Arabidopsis thaliana: one gene and its partners. The protein of the gene in region 1 interacts with the protein of each later gene in a pairwise test. Each region holds a gene or a part of one and is shown on either strand. Other genes may lie near its edges. The genes, in order: ASHH3, OFP7 and AT1G77250.

The links.
Region 2: the proteins of ASHH3 (region 1) and OFP7 interact in a two-hybrid assay, tested with the Arabidopsis thaliana proteins (one large-scale study listed by BioGRID).
Region 3: the proteins of ASHH3 (region 1) and AT1G77250 interact in a two-hybrid assay, tested with the Arabidopsis thaliana proteins (one large-scale study listed by BioGRID).

Annotation. Positions count from the first base shown.
Region 1 is NC_003071.7:18,256,832-18,262,061, forward strand, and holds ASHH3 (histone-lysine N-methyltransferase ASHH3), read left to right. Parts: upstream 1-1,737; 5' UTR 1,738-2,031; coding exon 2,032-2,049; intron 2,050-2,129; coding exon 2,130-2,259; intron 2,260-2,349; coding exon 2,350-2,467; intron 2,468-2,591; coding exon 2,592-2,691; intron 2,692-2,768; coding exon 2,769-2,847; intron 2,848-2,940; coding exon 2,941-3,112; intron 3,113-3,208; coding exon 3,209-3,289; intron 3,290-3,371; coding exon 3,372-3,519; intron 3,520-3,652; coding exon 3,653-3,692; intron 3,693-3,782; coding exon 3,783-3,873; intron 3,874-3,961; coding exon 3,962-4,010; intron 4,011-4,106; coding exon 4,107-4,172; 3' UTR 4,173-4,184; intron 4,185-4,273; 3' UTR 4,274-4,711; downstream 4,712-5,230. Other genes in the region: AT2G44140 (Peptidase family C54 protein), read right to left, coding at 1-334. UniProt on the Arabidopsis thaliana protein: Histone methyltransferase.
Region 2 is NC_003071.7:8,025,088-8,028,875, forward strand, and holds OFP7 (ovate family protein 7), read left to right. Parts: upstream 1-1,869; 5' UTR 1,870-2,014; coding exon 2,015-2,962; 3' UTR 2,963-3,186; downstream 3,187-3,788. UniProt on the Arabidopsis thaliana protein: Transcriptional repressor that regulates multiple aspects of plant growth and development through the regulation of BEL1-LIKE (BLH) and KNOX TALE (KNAT) homeodomain transcription factors.
Region 3 is NC_003070.9:29,019,656-29,025,427, reverse strand, and holds AT1G77250 (RING/FYVE/PHD-type zinc finger family protein), read left to right. Parts: upstream 1-1,953; 5' UTR 1,954-2,096; intron 2,097-2,431; 5' UTR 2,432-2,489; coding exon 2,490-2,744; intron 2,745-3,357; coding exon 3,358-3,660; intron 3,661-3,876; coding exon 3,877-3,966; intron 3,967-4,063; coding exon 4,064-4,984; 3' UTR 4,985-5,252; downstream 5,253-5,772. Other genes in the region: AT1G77260 (S-adenosyl-L-methionine-dependent methyltransferases superfamily protein), read left to right, coding at 34-144, 235-394, 544-801, 879-1,001, 1,100-1,177, 1,269-1,467.

The DNA of each region.
Region 1 (5,230 bases):
ATACGTCACTAGTTGTGCTCGGAAGACCGGTCCTATTAGGCCCTAAAACACGCTCCTGGAATCTCCTAATTGCTCCACTAGCCATAGAGACTCTTTTTACAAATGCTGTCCAACCATTACGAGTGGTGCAAACTTGCTTATGCCCAGAAGTTGAAGACTCCCTATACGGTTGAGAAACTGAGGAAGAAGACGTAAACACGTTTGACCATAAGGTAAACTTGGACTTATTATCACTAGGTCCAGAATCTGAAACTAAAGGGGATTTATCATGCGTATCACTCTTGCTTGATGAAGAACATTGTTGAGGAACAAATCTATCACATAAAGCCTTCATTACCTAGACATGAAGCACCAACTGCAACGTGTCCTTCTCATAGAAGCAACCTAAATCCTGAGAACCTTATCTGAAATAATAAGCACAAAAGACACTGAATTAACATCCAACATACTTTTAAGTAGTATCAGAAAGCCAAGATTGACTAAAAACTTCCACAATTAACTTCAAACACTACACAAGATTGGGTGTGTGTGACTTCAAGGTTCAGAAAAGTTTAATCAATTAACTCTCTGAGACCATAACTATAGTTTTGTGACCACTGAAGTTCAGCTTAACACCCCAAAAACAAGTAAGCATGTAACACAATAACGATTCTACAATTACAAACACTAAGCAGATTTTGATGAGAAAATAAACCCAATCCATAGCTTCTTGACCTCTTGAAACATCACAACATAGAATTTTCCGCATGATATTAGGAAGGTTTAGGGAGTCAACAGAGAAATATAAACCAAAATTTTAGAGATCAAAGCATTTGGATTCCACATGCATATTCTCTTAATTGAAGAATGTTTCTAGCAAATGACAAAATCAAGAAACAGACTTGAGCTTGACGAAATTTCAACTCACGGATCTACAGTAATCGAAAATGATCAATTAATCAACTTAAATTTTGACAACTCCTCTTCGTGTAGCAGAATTTCATCATCCAATTTAGCCCAGGAATTCTCACAACTCCGAATTTTTCTAGCAGAGAGAAAACAATAGGAAAAGAAACAGAAGGATCACCTGAGAGATCGATCAAATGGTTTCAGCAGACGACGGAGATGGAAAACGCAAGGGGGAGATCGATTTCGTGTCGTATCTTGCTCGCTTCAACGTCCCGTCGAAGATACCTCAGAGCAAAGACAAACGTGTGTTTCCTTTGGAGGTTTTGGGACAATCTCAATGGCGATTCTTCTTTTTACCTTCTTCAAATCTTTCGCTTTCAACTAATGACAATCTATATCGTTTAATTATTAATTAAACTTCACATAATCAGGGTTATGAATTATGATTACACTTGTTTACCATTTTTTTACGTGGAAAAAAATAAATACTCTCCGATTTACCTGTTTACTTCGGATAAAACGTTCGAATATTATATTAACAATGACATTGATAGTATTTTACTTTACTTTTCTCCAGGTTCCTAATTTTTTTGTTAACACATCCATCAACATGTTAACAGTACACAAAATTAAAATGTTGCTGCTGCTTGCTATTAATGTGATTAGTGATTACGGCTAAAAGGCTATGACATATAAACGACATAAAGCAACAATATTAGTTTGGGTTAATTAAGCTCAGCTAATTTGGGCTAGTTAAAAAAATTGGATCGGATAAAAAAGCCCATATTGACACTGGGCCAACATATCATATCGAGTCAAGTTACGGTTTTACCCTGAAGCCATTTATTTCTGAAGCGTAATTATCAAAGAGAAAAAAAGATTAAAAAAAAAGCAACTGCCGCTCTTTCTTCTTTCTTACTGTCTCAGATCCGCCATTGTTACTTCTTCAGTTCTTCTTCTTCAACAACAACAAGAAGTAATAATTAGGGTTGAGAAACTTCGAATTCCGAAACAACAGAGAGACGTACTAGTTTTAGCCATCTTCTTTTCTTAGTTTCATCGAACTTGGTGTTACCTCAATAGGTCGACGCTCAAATCTTGCTTATTCTCTGGTTTTTAGAGCTTCTTTTAGATTCTTTCGACATGCCAGCCAGCAAAAAGGTCTGTTCAAAAACAATCTCCGCTTCATGGAAATTTTAACTTTATTCTTGATATCTGAAATTTCCAGATATTTTTCTCAGATTTCGGACCGGAATCACTTAGGGCAAGTGTTCGACAAGCTATTGAATCAGATTGGAGAATCTGAAGAATTCGAGTTACCGGAGTGGTTGAATAAAGGAAAACCTACTCCTTATATCTTCATCAGGCGCAGTATCCTTTTTTGCAATTGCAGTTTTGGTTTTGTTTCATTTTGCAGATTTAGCTTTGATCAAGATTTGTTTTGGCCTTGACTTGTTAAAGATATATACTTGACGAAGAAAGTCAAAAGGAGGGTTGAAGATGATGGAATCTTCTGTTCTTGCTCCTCCTCGTCTCCTGGTTCTTCTTCAACTGTCTGTGGGAGTAATTGCCATTGTGGGTATGCCTCTGTTTTTATTTCACTTTTCTTGATCTATCTATTTCAGCATTTCATTGATATAAGACCATAATTATCTGCTTGTTTAAGTACATTGAACTGGAAAAAACCTTATCTTTTGTGTTAGGATGCTATTCTCAAGCTGTTCCTCAAGTTGCAAGTGTGGGAGTGAGTGTAACAATAAGCCGTTCCAACAACGACATGTCAAGAAGATGAAGTTAATTCAGGTAATGTGTGATTGGTTTTGGTTGGATAGAGTGGATTTTTGTTGTTGTCGGTTTGTTATTTTAGTTGTGTCTTGTAGACAGAAAAATGCGGATCAGGGATTGTGGCAGAAGAAGAAATCGAAGCTGGAGAGTTTATCATTGAATATGTTGGAGAAGGTGATGTGACTATTTGATATTTTGTCTCCCTACTGAATATACTGCGACCATGGTCTAATTTGTTTTCTTTTTTCGTACCTTTGCTCAATGTAGTTATTGATGATAAGACTTGTGAAGAGAGGCTTTGGAAGATGAAACACCGTGGCGAGACAAACTTTTATTTATGTGAGATAACCAGAGATATGGTTATTGATGCTACTCATAAGGGAAACAAATCAAGATATATTAATCATAGCTGCAACCCTAATACGCAGATGCAGAAATGGTTTGTTGTTAACTGTCAACCCTTAGTGCTTGTTTCCTAGTTTAGAATACTTGAGAGAGAAAAGTCATCATTTGGTTTACTTTTGCTTGCAATTAGGATAATTGACGGCGAGACCAGAATCGGCATTTTCGCCACCCGTGGTATCAAAAAGGGAGAGCATTTGACCTATGATTATCAGTAAGTTTATATCCTCCTTCTCCAGTTTACTTTGTAACATATCTGTTTTTATGTTGAGTTGTGACACTAAGAAATAGAGCAGGTTTGTTCAGTTTGGTGCAGATCAAGACTGCCATTGTGGGGCTGTAGGTTGCAGAAGGAAGCTTGGTGTAAAACCTAGCAAACCTAAGATAGCCTCGGATGAAGCTTTTAATCTAGTGGCACATGAATTGGCCCAGACACTGCCCAAGGTATTTTCAAATTTTATCTGAAAAGAAGAATCAAATATATATCTCGTCTTTGCCCTGGCATAGTTTCACAGTCACTGAAAAATTTGTGTGATGAGGTCTAAGTGACTCTTTTTCTTTCCCCACTTTTGGTTAGGTGCATCAAAATGGACTTGTAAATAGACACATAGATGCAGGTAAGTTTGGATTTTTTCTGCTCAATTTGCGAGAGTAGCTTATTGTGTTTTGGTTGTAAGAAAGTAATTTGGATTCCCATGTTTCTCCAGGAAAATCATGGAACAATCTTAGTCAAAGGGATACATGTTCGCGTAATTGCATTGGTGTGGTGATCAGGTTATCTCGCCCCACGAGTGATAGGTATTTATTGAGTTTTGAACTCGTGGATTAGTTTTATGACTCATTCTATGCTTTTCTCATCCAATGTTTTATCTTTTGAGATTTTCAGGTGTTTTGGCCTCGTTAGACATTTTGATGAGTATTCAAGAAAGCACTCGGTATTACAATTAGCCAATACTTGTTCCTCACCATCGAACTTGGCAAAATCATTCTCAATTAAGACCTCTCTGTTAACATCTTTAAACTTGGTCCAGGTGATGTTCGAGGATGGTGTTACCGAGTTTGTCGACATGTCGAGAGAAGACTGGGAGATTGTCTAATATTGTTTTCAGGTGATTTATACTCTTCACTCTCTTAATGAAACATTAAAACTCCCAGAAGCATAGAGTATTAAATTACCCTGGCTGCTATGTTTCTGCAGATTGCTTTGAAGTTGAGAAACCAAAATAACCTGTCTTGGTAAACTAAAGGTATCCCAAAAAACCCGGGTCTGACTGACTGGGATTGGTGCAGTGACATTGTTTGTTGCGTCTAACTTGTGACCTGTGTTTGTACAACCATTATAAGAGATATCATATATCTACTTGTGTAACCACATCTGTACTTTCTTCTCCTTCCTTCTTTTTTCATGGGGATCTCAAATGATGATGTCTTGCAAGAACCTTCGTGGTGTGTAATTGACTTTGTAAGAACCGGTAATCTCATATCCGGTTTAGCTTTTAAAAATTTGTATCCAAAGACCGGTTTGTTCTTGTTTGCATGTGCTGTTCTTATTCGTGCATCTGTGTGAGTGTGACTGTGTCGGTGTCGCCGACAAAAGCCGGTGTTTGCAAAATCTGACCAGTTTTGTTTTAGCGATTAACGTTTCAAATTCCTTCAAATGCAAAATGAGTTAAACAAGTGAAAAATTACTAAAACAACATAACAGTTTTAAATTGGAAAAAGTTTTGTAAAGTTTAAAGATACACTGTAAGTGAAAAACGGAAAATTTTAATTAGATTTTTTTTTTTTTTTTTTTTTTTTGGTAAAAGTAGATTATTTTTGTTAAACAAAAGTGATGGATCATTGGTTTTTTGGTAGTAGGTGGGTGATGTGGGTGTGTGGTTCTGGTTCACCAACTCAAAAAGCATAGACTGCAGGGGTTGGGGATTGATAACGACAAATCTAATTGTGGTTGGTAAATCTTTTACTAATCACATTCCTTTAAAATAATTATGTAACTCATCTTGTTTACTAATATCAACTCGACTATCTTAATATCAAATAACTCGGATTCTTCATTTTTTTCACTTTAGAATGGTTTGGTAAATCTCTTGAATAATAAACACTTTAATAAAAATGTTTTTTTTTGTCAAGCATAAAAATGTAACTCATGTTG
Region 2 (3,788 bases), about 10 Mb from region 1:
GCATCTACATTATATATTTTTAATGATTAAACGACACAAGTAGAAATGTAATCATATTGTAATTTTCCAAAAAGGAAGAAAATAAATAAAGTTGAAAAATATAAATATATGGGAAAGAGATGGAGAAAGATGACTTTGGGGCATGAATCAGATTATATTGTCTCCTTGGATCCTTTGGTCGTTCCCTACTTCGCTTCTTCATTCTTCAAAAATGGATCTTTTTTGTCTTATCATACAACTTTTCACCTTCTTTTAAATATAATATATAATTTATTATTGCAAAATTGGCTTTTTTAAATCCCGAAAGTTTTGAAACCGTATCTTTCAATCTCATAAAAGAGCAGTGCTAATTAATACCCAACACAAAAAAAACTCAAATAATTTAGGTAAACTTTTGACGAAGTGTATAATTACGAGTCAATATTAACAAATGTTAGTTAATTCAGCTGACAAGTGTTTGTCGAAGTGATATGTTCTTCACGTAAAATGCCTTTTTAAAATTATTAGGTTTTTCGCGCGGTAACTTTAAAAATTTGTTTGATAGTAGTTAAGTTAAAATATTATAGTAAGACTAAGAGTATACATTTTCTCAATACATGTGATTGGGATGGTAGGAAAATAGTTACTACTTTCAAAAACCTGATAAGACAATGGATTATCGCATATTCTTTCTTTTAAGGTAAGTTGACTATTCTGGACTTTGCTAAATGTCTTACAAGATTTTGGACTACTCTTTTGCTTGTTGGTTGCTAGCTTCAAATGCAAGCTAACAAGAACTGTGAGTTCTTTTTGGACTAGTCTTATTATGCTTGTTGGTTGCTAGATCCAAATGCAAGCTAATTCGAGCTAAGTAGAACTTTTGTATCGGTCAAACTCGAGTTACATCAATCTTTGATGCCTAGGGGTTAGGGTTTGTATAATTTTCTTAGGATTAGCTTGTCAATTTAAGTCATAAGTATATACAGTATAAAAAAATAGGTATCAACATTGACATCATACATGTGATGACGTTACAAAAATTATTTTAATTACATGTAATTTATTACAAGACTAGGCTAAACATGATTCTGTGCGATACTACGATATGTAATCAAAATTGTGAATTTTTTTCCAAAATATCTTTTCGATTTTTGAAAATATGTATTAACAAAAAAAATTGATCTAAATATATAGAAAGCAAGAAAGTATTTAGGAATAAAGACAAAAAAAAAAGTTCTAAAAAAGAAATGTATTTTGTGGTAAAAAATATAAAACAATTTAGACAGAATGTTGTTGTTTTGTATTTTAATTTAGCCGTTTAATTTCTCAACCTTTCAATTTCATAGGTGTTTGACTTGTATATGCCCACACATGGTTATGTCTTTAGTTTTTTTTTGGTACAAACTATCTTATTCCTATTAACTAAGATCGATATTTAATAAACTCTCAAGTCAAAATGGTTATATCACAATTCGGTATCTTGTTTATGATCGATACAGTATCATCATTCTACTGAAGAAGTAATCGAGAAAACGTATATATATGAAATCCTACATATAAATACGTTTTCTCGACTACCACCACTTCAGAAGAACGATGATGTGCAACTTTTCCTTCACCATTGCTATTGCCAACATCTCTGCAAATCAAGCCTTAGACGTCCACTTAACTAATTTGGGTTGCTTTTGAAAACGCAAAGTATATACATATCACACACATTCTGACCCGTCTAATGACATTCACGGTTCATTTGATCATTTAACTAAGGTAAGGTTTTAGTATGGGCAAAAAAAAGTAGGGATTCGTATAAATAACTTATATTGCAGCTGTCAACAAAAAAAAGATAATTAGTAAATGTAATGTCGGTATAAAGCATACTAAAGCAGAGAAATATTATACAATTTTATATACTCCAATATAAAAGTGTTTGCATATATATAGAAGCAGAAGAGACACAAACAGTTCTCATTTGGTAAATGCTCCATACTTTCTTCACTTCTCCAACAAAACACAAAAAACAAGAAAAGAAAAAAAAATGACGAAACGTTTCAAATTAAAGATTTCAAGAATCCTCTCATTCAAATCTTGCCGTTTAAAAGATCCTTCTTCTCTTCCTTTTAATCCTGTTTCTTCAAGTCTCCGACGTACTTCTCCACTGGTTAACTCCTCCGCCGACGTCACCACCGTGCCGCAACGTCGCCGTTCTTCTTTCAGACTACACGTTTTAACTGTGTTTGGCTGCGGACGCTCGTCCACGCCGTTGGATGTTGATCTGAGAAACTCACCGGTGTTATCTCCGCCGCAAACGCCGACGTTTCAGTGGGAAAGTGAAGGGAAGTGGCACGTGATTGCTCAAGTCACTGAAGAAGAATACGAAACGCCTCGTCGGAAAATATACAACGGTGGGTCGGAGAAAGATAATCGCCGGCGTTTAAAGAAGAAGGAGAAATCAAACTCTCGGCGGCGAGGGAGCATTTCCTCCGCCGAAGAAGAGACTGATAGAGAGAGTCTCTTACCATCTTCTACAAACCTCTCGCCGGAATATTCCTCTTCCGAGCTACCGCGTGTCACAAGACGTCCGAGACAACTTCTCAAGAAGGCGGTGATCGAGGAAGAAAGTGAATCATCATCACCGCCACCGTCTCCGGCGAGACTGTCTTCGTTTGTGCAGAGATTAATGCCGTGTACGATGGCGGCGGCGGTTATGGTGGAAGGAGTGGCGGTGGTGAAGAAATCGGAGGATCCATACGAAGATTTTAAAGGATCAATGATGGAGATGATAGTAGAGAAGAAGATGTTTGAAGTAGCTGAGCTTGAACAGCTTCTTAGTTGCTTCCTATCGCTAAACGCGAAACGCCACCACCGCGCGATTGTAAGAGCGTTTTCAGAGATTTGGGTTGCTTTGTTCTCCGGTGGTAGTGGTGGTGGTCGGAGATCGTCCTCCTTCTCGAGTGTTCGACTCTCAGACTACGATGAGTGTTAAAATAATAATGTTAAAAATTAAAATCCTCTGTTTATGATAATGTCTAACTAAATTCTACTAAATTTTTTTCACTTTTAGTGACGATGTAAATGTTAAATGTAAATTATGCGGCGGTGCAATTATTAAAACTGTAATCATTAAATGCGTAGGCTAATTAAAATATTGTATTTGTGCGATTTAGATTCTAATGCATAGATTGCATATATTCATAATCGTCAACACCAAACCCAAAAAAAGATGTTCATATTCACACGCAATAATTGCTTTTCAAAAATTTCACTTTTTTGGTTACTAAAGTTAAAGTTATGTATACAAAACTAGATTTTGACCCGCGGTATACCGCAGATTTATTTTTTCTAAATAAAATTTATATATTAAGTAAAATTCGTATAGTTGAATAATAGATTATGTATTTGAGTTAACGGTTATAATATGTATTTTTTTTAGAATTTTAGTTAGGATTACGGTTAAAATGTATAGTGTATCTAATAAAAGCATGATAAACTGTATTATGTAAAATTCGATTTTTTTTTAACCCGCGATATACCGCAGGACTATTTTTAAAAAAAAAATAAAAGTTTAATTTGTTTAATAAAATATGATTTAATGTTTTGTATTTTTTAAATGTACAACTCTTATATCTATATATATTTTTAGTGTATAAATACAATGTTTGATTTTTCTCGTATTACTATTGATCCAAATCCATCCTACAATCTAATCCCTTCCAGTGAAATAAAAAATATATAATGGATTTCACTCTTGGTATACCGTCTCGTATTACTATCGACCCAAACTCGTCCTACCATCTAACCCCGTTCAGTGA
Region 3 (5,772 bases), on another chromosome or scaffold:
GACTACAGCATTTTGTTTCTATGAATTACACAGATGGGATACTTCTTCTTGAAGTTAATAGAATGCTTAGAGCAGGAGGCTACTTTGTTTGGGCTGCACAACCCGTTTACAAACATGAGGATAACTTGCAAGAGCAGTGGAAAGGTTTGTATATTATTCAACAAAATAATTTGTCTGCTATGGAGTTTAACTAAAATATGGGTGTTGCTTCTGCGCTTTGATTATCTTTTTCAGAAATGTTAGACCTTACGAATCGAATCTGTTGGGAGCTTATCAAGAAAGAGGGATATATTGCTGTGTGGAGGAAGCCTCTAAACAACAGCTGCTATGTCAGTCGCGAAGCTGGAACAAAACCTCCTTTGTGCAGACCTGATGATGATCCTGATGATGTTTGGTACATATATGCATCTGAAAATCTAGTTTCTTTTTAATAGTTTTGAGCCTTCTTGCATAGACATTATATGATAGAACCACCAAATTCTCAGCTTTTCAATTAAAACTTTCTAAAAATCTCAACTTTGTGGTTATGGTTTCCTGTTCCAGGTATGTAGATATGAAACCGTGCATCACCCGATTACCTGATAATGGCTATGGGGCTAATGTCTCCACATGGCCTGCACGTCTTCATGATCCGCCAGAGAGGCTACAAAGCATTCAAATGGATGCGTACATATCCCGAAAGGAAATTATGAAGGCAGAGTCTAGATTTTGGTTAGAAGTAGTAGAGAGTTATGTGCGGGTTTTCCGCTGGAAGGAGTTCAAACTGAGGAATGTTCTGGACATGAGAGCTGGTTTTGGAGGGTAACCATCAATCACACCCTTTTTTTGTTTCTGCCTTACCAAAGTTTATTTGATCTAGTATTTCTTGATTTTGGTAGGTTTGCAGCAGCATTAAACGATCTGGGGCTTGACTGTTGGGTTATGAACATTGTTCCCGTTAGCGGATTCAACACCTTGCCAGTTATTTATGACCGTGGACTACAAGGGGCTATGCACGACTGGTACAGACTGATAACCTTCTGCTCTTTTGCTTCTAATCCCACATAACTTTAACTTACACAAGATCACATTTAAAGCTTTTTTCACTTACTTCCTCTAGGTGTGAGCCATTTGACACCTACCCAAGAACCTATGATCTGATACATGCTGCATTTCTCTTCTCTGTTGAGAAAAAGAGGTAAAAAGATTTAAACTTCGTTTTTCTTTTTATCCTGAATCCAAAAATAAAGGTCAGGAACTTGATTGGGGTAATGAATTGTGGAACATAGGTGCAACATAACAAACATTATGCTGGAGATGGACCGGATGTTGAGACCAGGAGGACATGTTTACATAAGGGATTCACTGTCTTTGATGGACCAACTTCAGCAAGTGGCTAAAGCCATCGGTTGGACTGCTGGTGTTCATGATACCGGGGAAGGACCCCACGCAAGCGTTAGGATTCTCATCTGCGATAAACGGATATGAGGAAAAGAAAAAGAAAAGATACGAAATCGAATGTGATGATAAGTCTGCTCAAAGCGACAGTTCTTCTTAGTGATAAATTGATAATTGTATTATTGTTTATTTGTTTGTTGATTTGATTGTTGAAGAATGAAGAGTGTTAATACACTTGAGCTACTTTAACACATGAGTAACAAAAAGATTCATTTTCTCAGACAAAAAAAAACAGAGAGAAGTGTGAAATAAAGAAACAGAGAATGGTGGGTGTCTTTCAGTTATAACCGTTGGATTGCTAAAGTTGAGATCCGACGGTTGTGACTCTTTGATCAGGGAATAACTAAAAGCACGTGCACATCACGAATCTGTTACTGTGGTGGACTCCGTCACCGTGAGTCTCCGGCGCGGTTTTTATTACTACTTCCACGTGTCAGTTTCGCGTCACTGATTACCGGTTTTGACCGGTTTCAGATCCAAGTTGAAAAATATACCGGTTAAGGGACGCGGAAGTTTAAAAATGATTCAAAGATAAGAAAGGCCGGGATTTACAGAACCACCGGCGAGTCTTAATCTCCGAGAGCCGGTAAATCAATCCTCTTCCTCAAATTTCTAGGGTTTGCTCTTCGTCGGTTCTTTACGCAGATTTCTTCACACTGGTACGGTTTTACTCTCTTTTTCCCTCTTGTCGGTTTTTTCGCTAGAGGTTTGAATTTGGATTTAGCTTTGTTCCGTCTTTTGTAGTGTCTAGATAAAGCTCCATTGAAGTTTCCGTATCTAGAAATTCGTTGTTTTCTGATGAAATTATGGTAGAGAAGTCTTCAATTTCATCGCTTTTTGTTGGAATGATATTGTTTTTTCTAATTTCTAGATGGTTTATTTGGTGATAAAATCGAAGACATTTTGATAGTTTGTTACCAATGGTCAACATTTCCATATGAGATTTCGTTTGTGGGTTATATAAGGACTCAAGTTTCTGTTTTGTCTATTGTAGGATGGAAGATTGGTGAAACCCTAGCTCCACTGTGTGAGGATCAAAACATTTGTTTAAGATGTTCATGGAGGAGGCGACAAGTAATGGTAAAGGTACAGAGCATAATCAGCCAAATGGTTTGGTGGAAAGTGAAGCATTGAATAATTGGAGTGCAGGATGTGGTGCTATGGCTAATTCTGCAAATGCTAGTTCCAGAGATAGTAAGAAGATACAAACATATAAGCGGAGAAAACTTGGGAGATCTTATTCTGCTAATAAATGTTCGGAAAATGATAGATTTTCCATGGAAGGTGTTAGTCACTCAGAAAGCCGGGTACTTTTCATGCCTTTTTCTATTATGGTACCACCTCTTGTTGTGATTGGTTTTAAAATGCTGGAGTATATGTAGTTGCTAGCATTTTGCAACTTTCGCTCACCTCAGTTGTTATATGTTTTGTGAATTTAGTTTATTGGTTTATTTTAGAGCCTTGGCTAAGTAATGTATATTAGGATCTCTATAAATCTAGTGATGGTTGGGTAGTTGCTTCAATAGTGAATATTGGGCCTCAATTACTCAGCATGTTGCTGAGGGAGCTAAAGAGAAGGGTCATTTCTGCTTATATTCGTATGGCTATTCAAGTAACAATTTTGCGATTATATATCTGTTCCCTTCATTTTGTTCAGGCTACATTGGTGTCTAGTGTGTGATAGCTATGTTTCAGGAAACGCTTTGCAAATAGTAGTAAAATCCATATGTGCTGTTAATACTGTGCTTATTGAAAACCTGACTAGAGTTTGCTAAATCATGCATTCATTCCTGAACTTCGTCTCAGGTTATATTTGTGTGATCAACTCATGTGTTCATGATTTACTTTCATGAATATGCTCCTAAAACATGTTAGCTCTTTCTTGTTTTGGATTAATTTTTTCATTAAATTTCTTCACAGGAGTCTGTCTCTTATGAAAGGTTTAGCATAAGAACCCATCTTACTGGTGAACTCCCGAAGCCTCCCAGTCCAAATAAACCATCAAGTGAATCCACCAATCATGAGACGGTGACAGCCGGTTGCCAGCATGTTCTGTCCCATGTTTTAGCTTCAAAGGAGTTTGCATCCCTAAATAGGTTACTTTCCGAAAATCTTCAAGGGGTCAAGATTGATGATTTTACGAGCAGAACTCTGATAGACACCAGGATGAAAGAGGGTGTTTATGAAGGTTCACCTCTGCTCTTTTCAACGGATCTCCAAGAGGTAATTAGTGGAAATCATGCTTAGTCTAAGATAAATATGCATGAAAACAGATTATCATGTCTTTCTTATTCTTTTCATTGTGAAAAATATAGTCTGATGCCGTAGTTCGGAAGCTGAACACAAACTCTTAGCTTGACGAATGTGGTTGTGTTTTCAGTACATATTATGCATTAGATTGAAGGTAGACATAGAACTAAACCTAACTACTGATTTCAGGTCTGGCAAAAAATGCAGGATGTTGGTAATGATATGGCTGTTCTTGCTAATAGTCTCTTAGAGCTTTCAAGAACCTCCTATAAGGAACAGGTGAGGGTCAGGCATAAATGATCTTCTTCAAGGTGCTATCTTATTATAACTTTATCCATCAATCCTCTAATATCTTCTTTATTTCAAAATCTGGAAGTTGAAGCAGTTCTACACTGGGGAATCGAAGCCTTGTCCTAATGCAGAGAACATCAGAAATGACAGTGTTTCTGACATTTGCAAGCTATGTGGAGAGAAGGCAGAGGCAAGAGACTGTTTAGCATGTGATCATTGTGAAGATATGTACCATGTCTCGTGTGCACAACCTGGTGGGAAAGGGATGCCAACACACAGTTGGTATTGTCTAGACTGTACATCTAAGGGAATCGGATCACCTCATGAGAATTGTGTAGTGTGTGAAAAAATGAAAACCCAAGGGATGATGAAGACAGATAACAGATCTGTTGATACGAGTACAGAATGCAAAGAGGATTCGAACGAATCTGAAGAGAATTCAAGCTGTAACATGAATCATGAGGTGCACCACGTAGAGATGAGTAGAGATTCTGAACTCTGTAGGACCTGTGGAACAAAGGTGGATAGTGGCGGAAAGTATATAACATGTGATCACCCTTTTTGCCCACACAAGTATTACCACATCAGGTGCTTGACTTCAAGGCAAATAAAACTACACGGTGTCCGTTGGTATTGCTCGTCATGCTTATGCAGAAATTGCCTAACTGACAAGGATGATGATAAAATCGTCTTGTGTGATGGGTGTGATGATGCATATCACATCTATTGCATGCGACCTCCATGTGAATCGGTTCCAAATGGAGAATGGTTTTGCACAGCATGTAAAGCTGCAATTCTTAAAGTCCAAAAAGCACGAAAGGCTTTTGAGAAGAAGATGGAGACGGTGCAGAAACAGAAAGGAATAAAACCCAAGAATCTCCAAGGCAAACCGCAAAGTAAAGACAATGGAGAATTGGATCAAAGCGTAGGAGGAATGGACATGCTTCTAAACGCAGCTGACACACTGAAAGATGAAGAACAGATGACATTCCAATCCATCAAATGAAGGATTGGATTGATAAGCAAACAAGCAAAATACAGCTTCTTGTCTCATCTACCTAACTTTCAACACTTTAATATTTGATTCTTCTCCACAAATTTGTTTTCGTTTGGTTGCTAACTTTTGAAAGCAAGACAAAGGATTCTGAAGGGTAAACCTTCTTCTAAGAGTAAATTCTTTTCATCAACAGTGCCCTTTTGATCTGCTGATTTTGCACTTTGTTTAACATTATAATGAACTGATTCTTGACCAAAGAGATGATGCTTCATCGGATAATTTTCTTATAAATTTAATCTATTCTACAATATCTTACGAGTAAAAACTCAAACAACAACAAAAAAAAGCTTAATGAGTATTATTGTTACGAGGCCGACCAACCATAGACCGTAAGGGTATATATAACATGTGATTAATTCATCGAACAAGATAAGATTTTAACTAAAATATTTACAGTAGTTAAATAACATAAGATTTCACTTATTACTATTAGATGTTCAAATCAATCAAAATAAATCTCTCAATCTTTCTTGTTTTGGGGGCAAACAATCGATCAATCTTTTTCTATAATCGGTATTATCCACTTCAATAGATGGTTCAATACTTAGATAATTGAAAAAAATGACCGTTGAGCCCAAAAAAAGAAAAAAGTATTAGCCAAGAAGCCTAAGCTAATTAGTTGTTGAGCCCAAAAAAAGAGAAATGTATTACCCAAGCAGCCTAAGTTCAAAATAAAATATTTCAAGTTAATGATTTCTGTTCTACCTAAGCACATCGGGAAAAATATATAATTCATT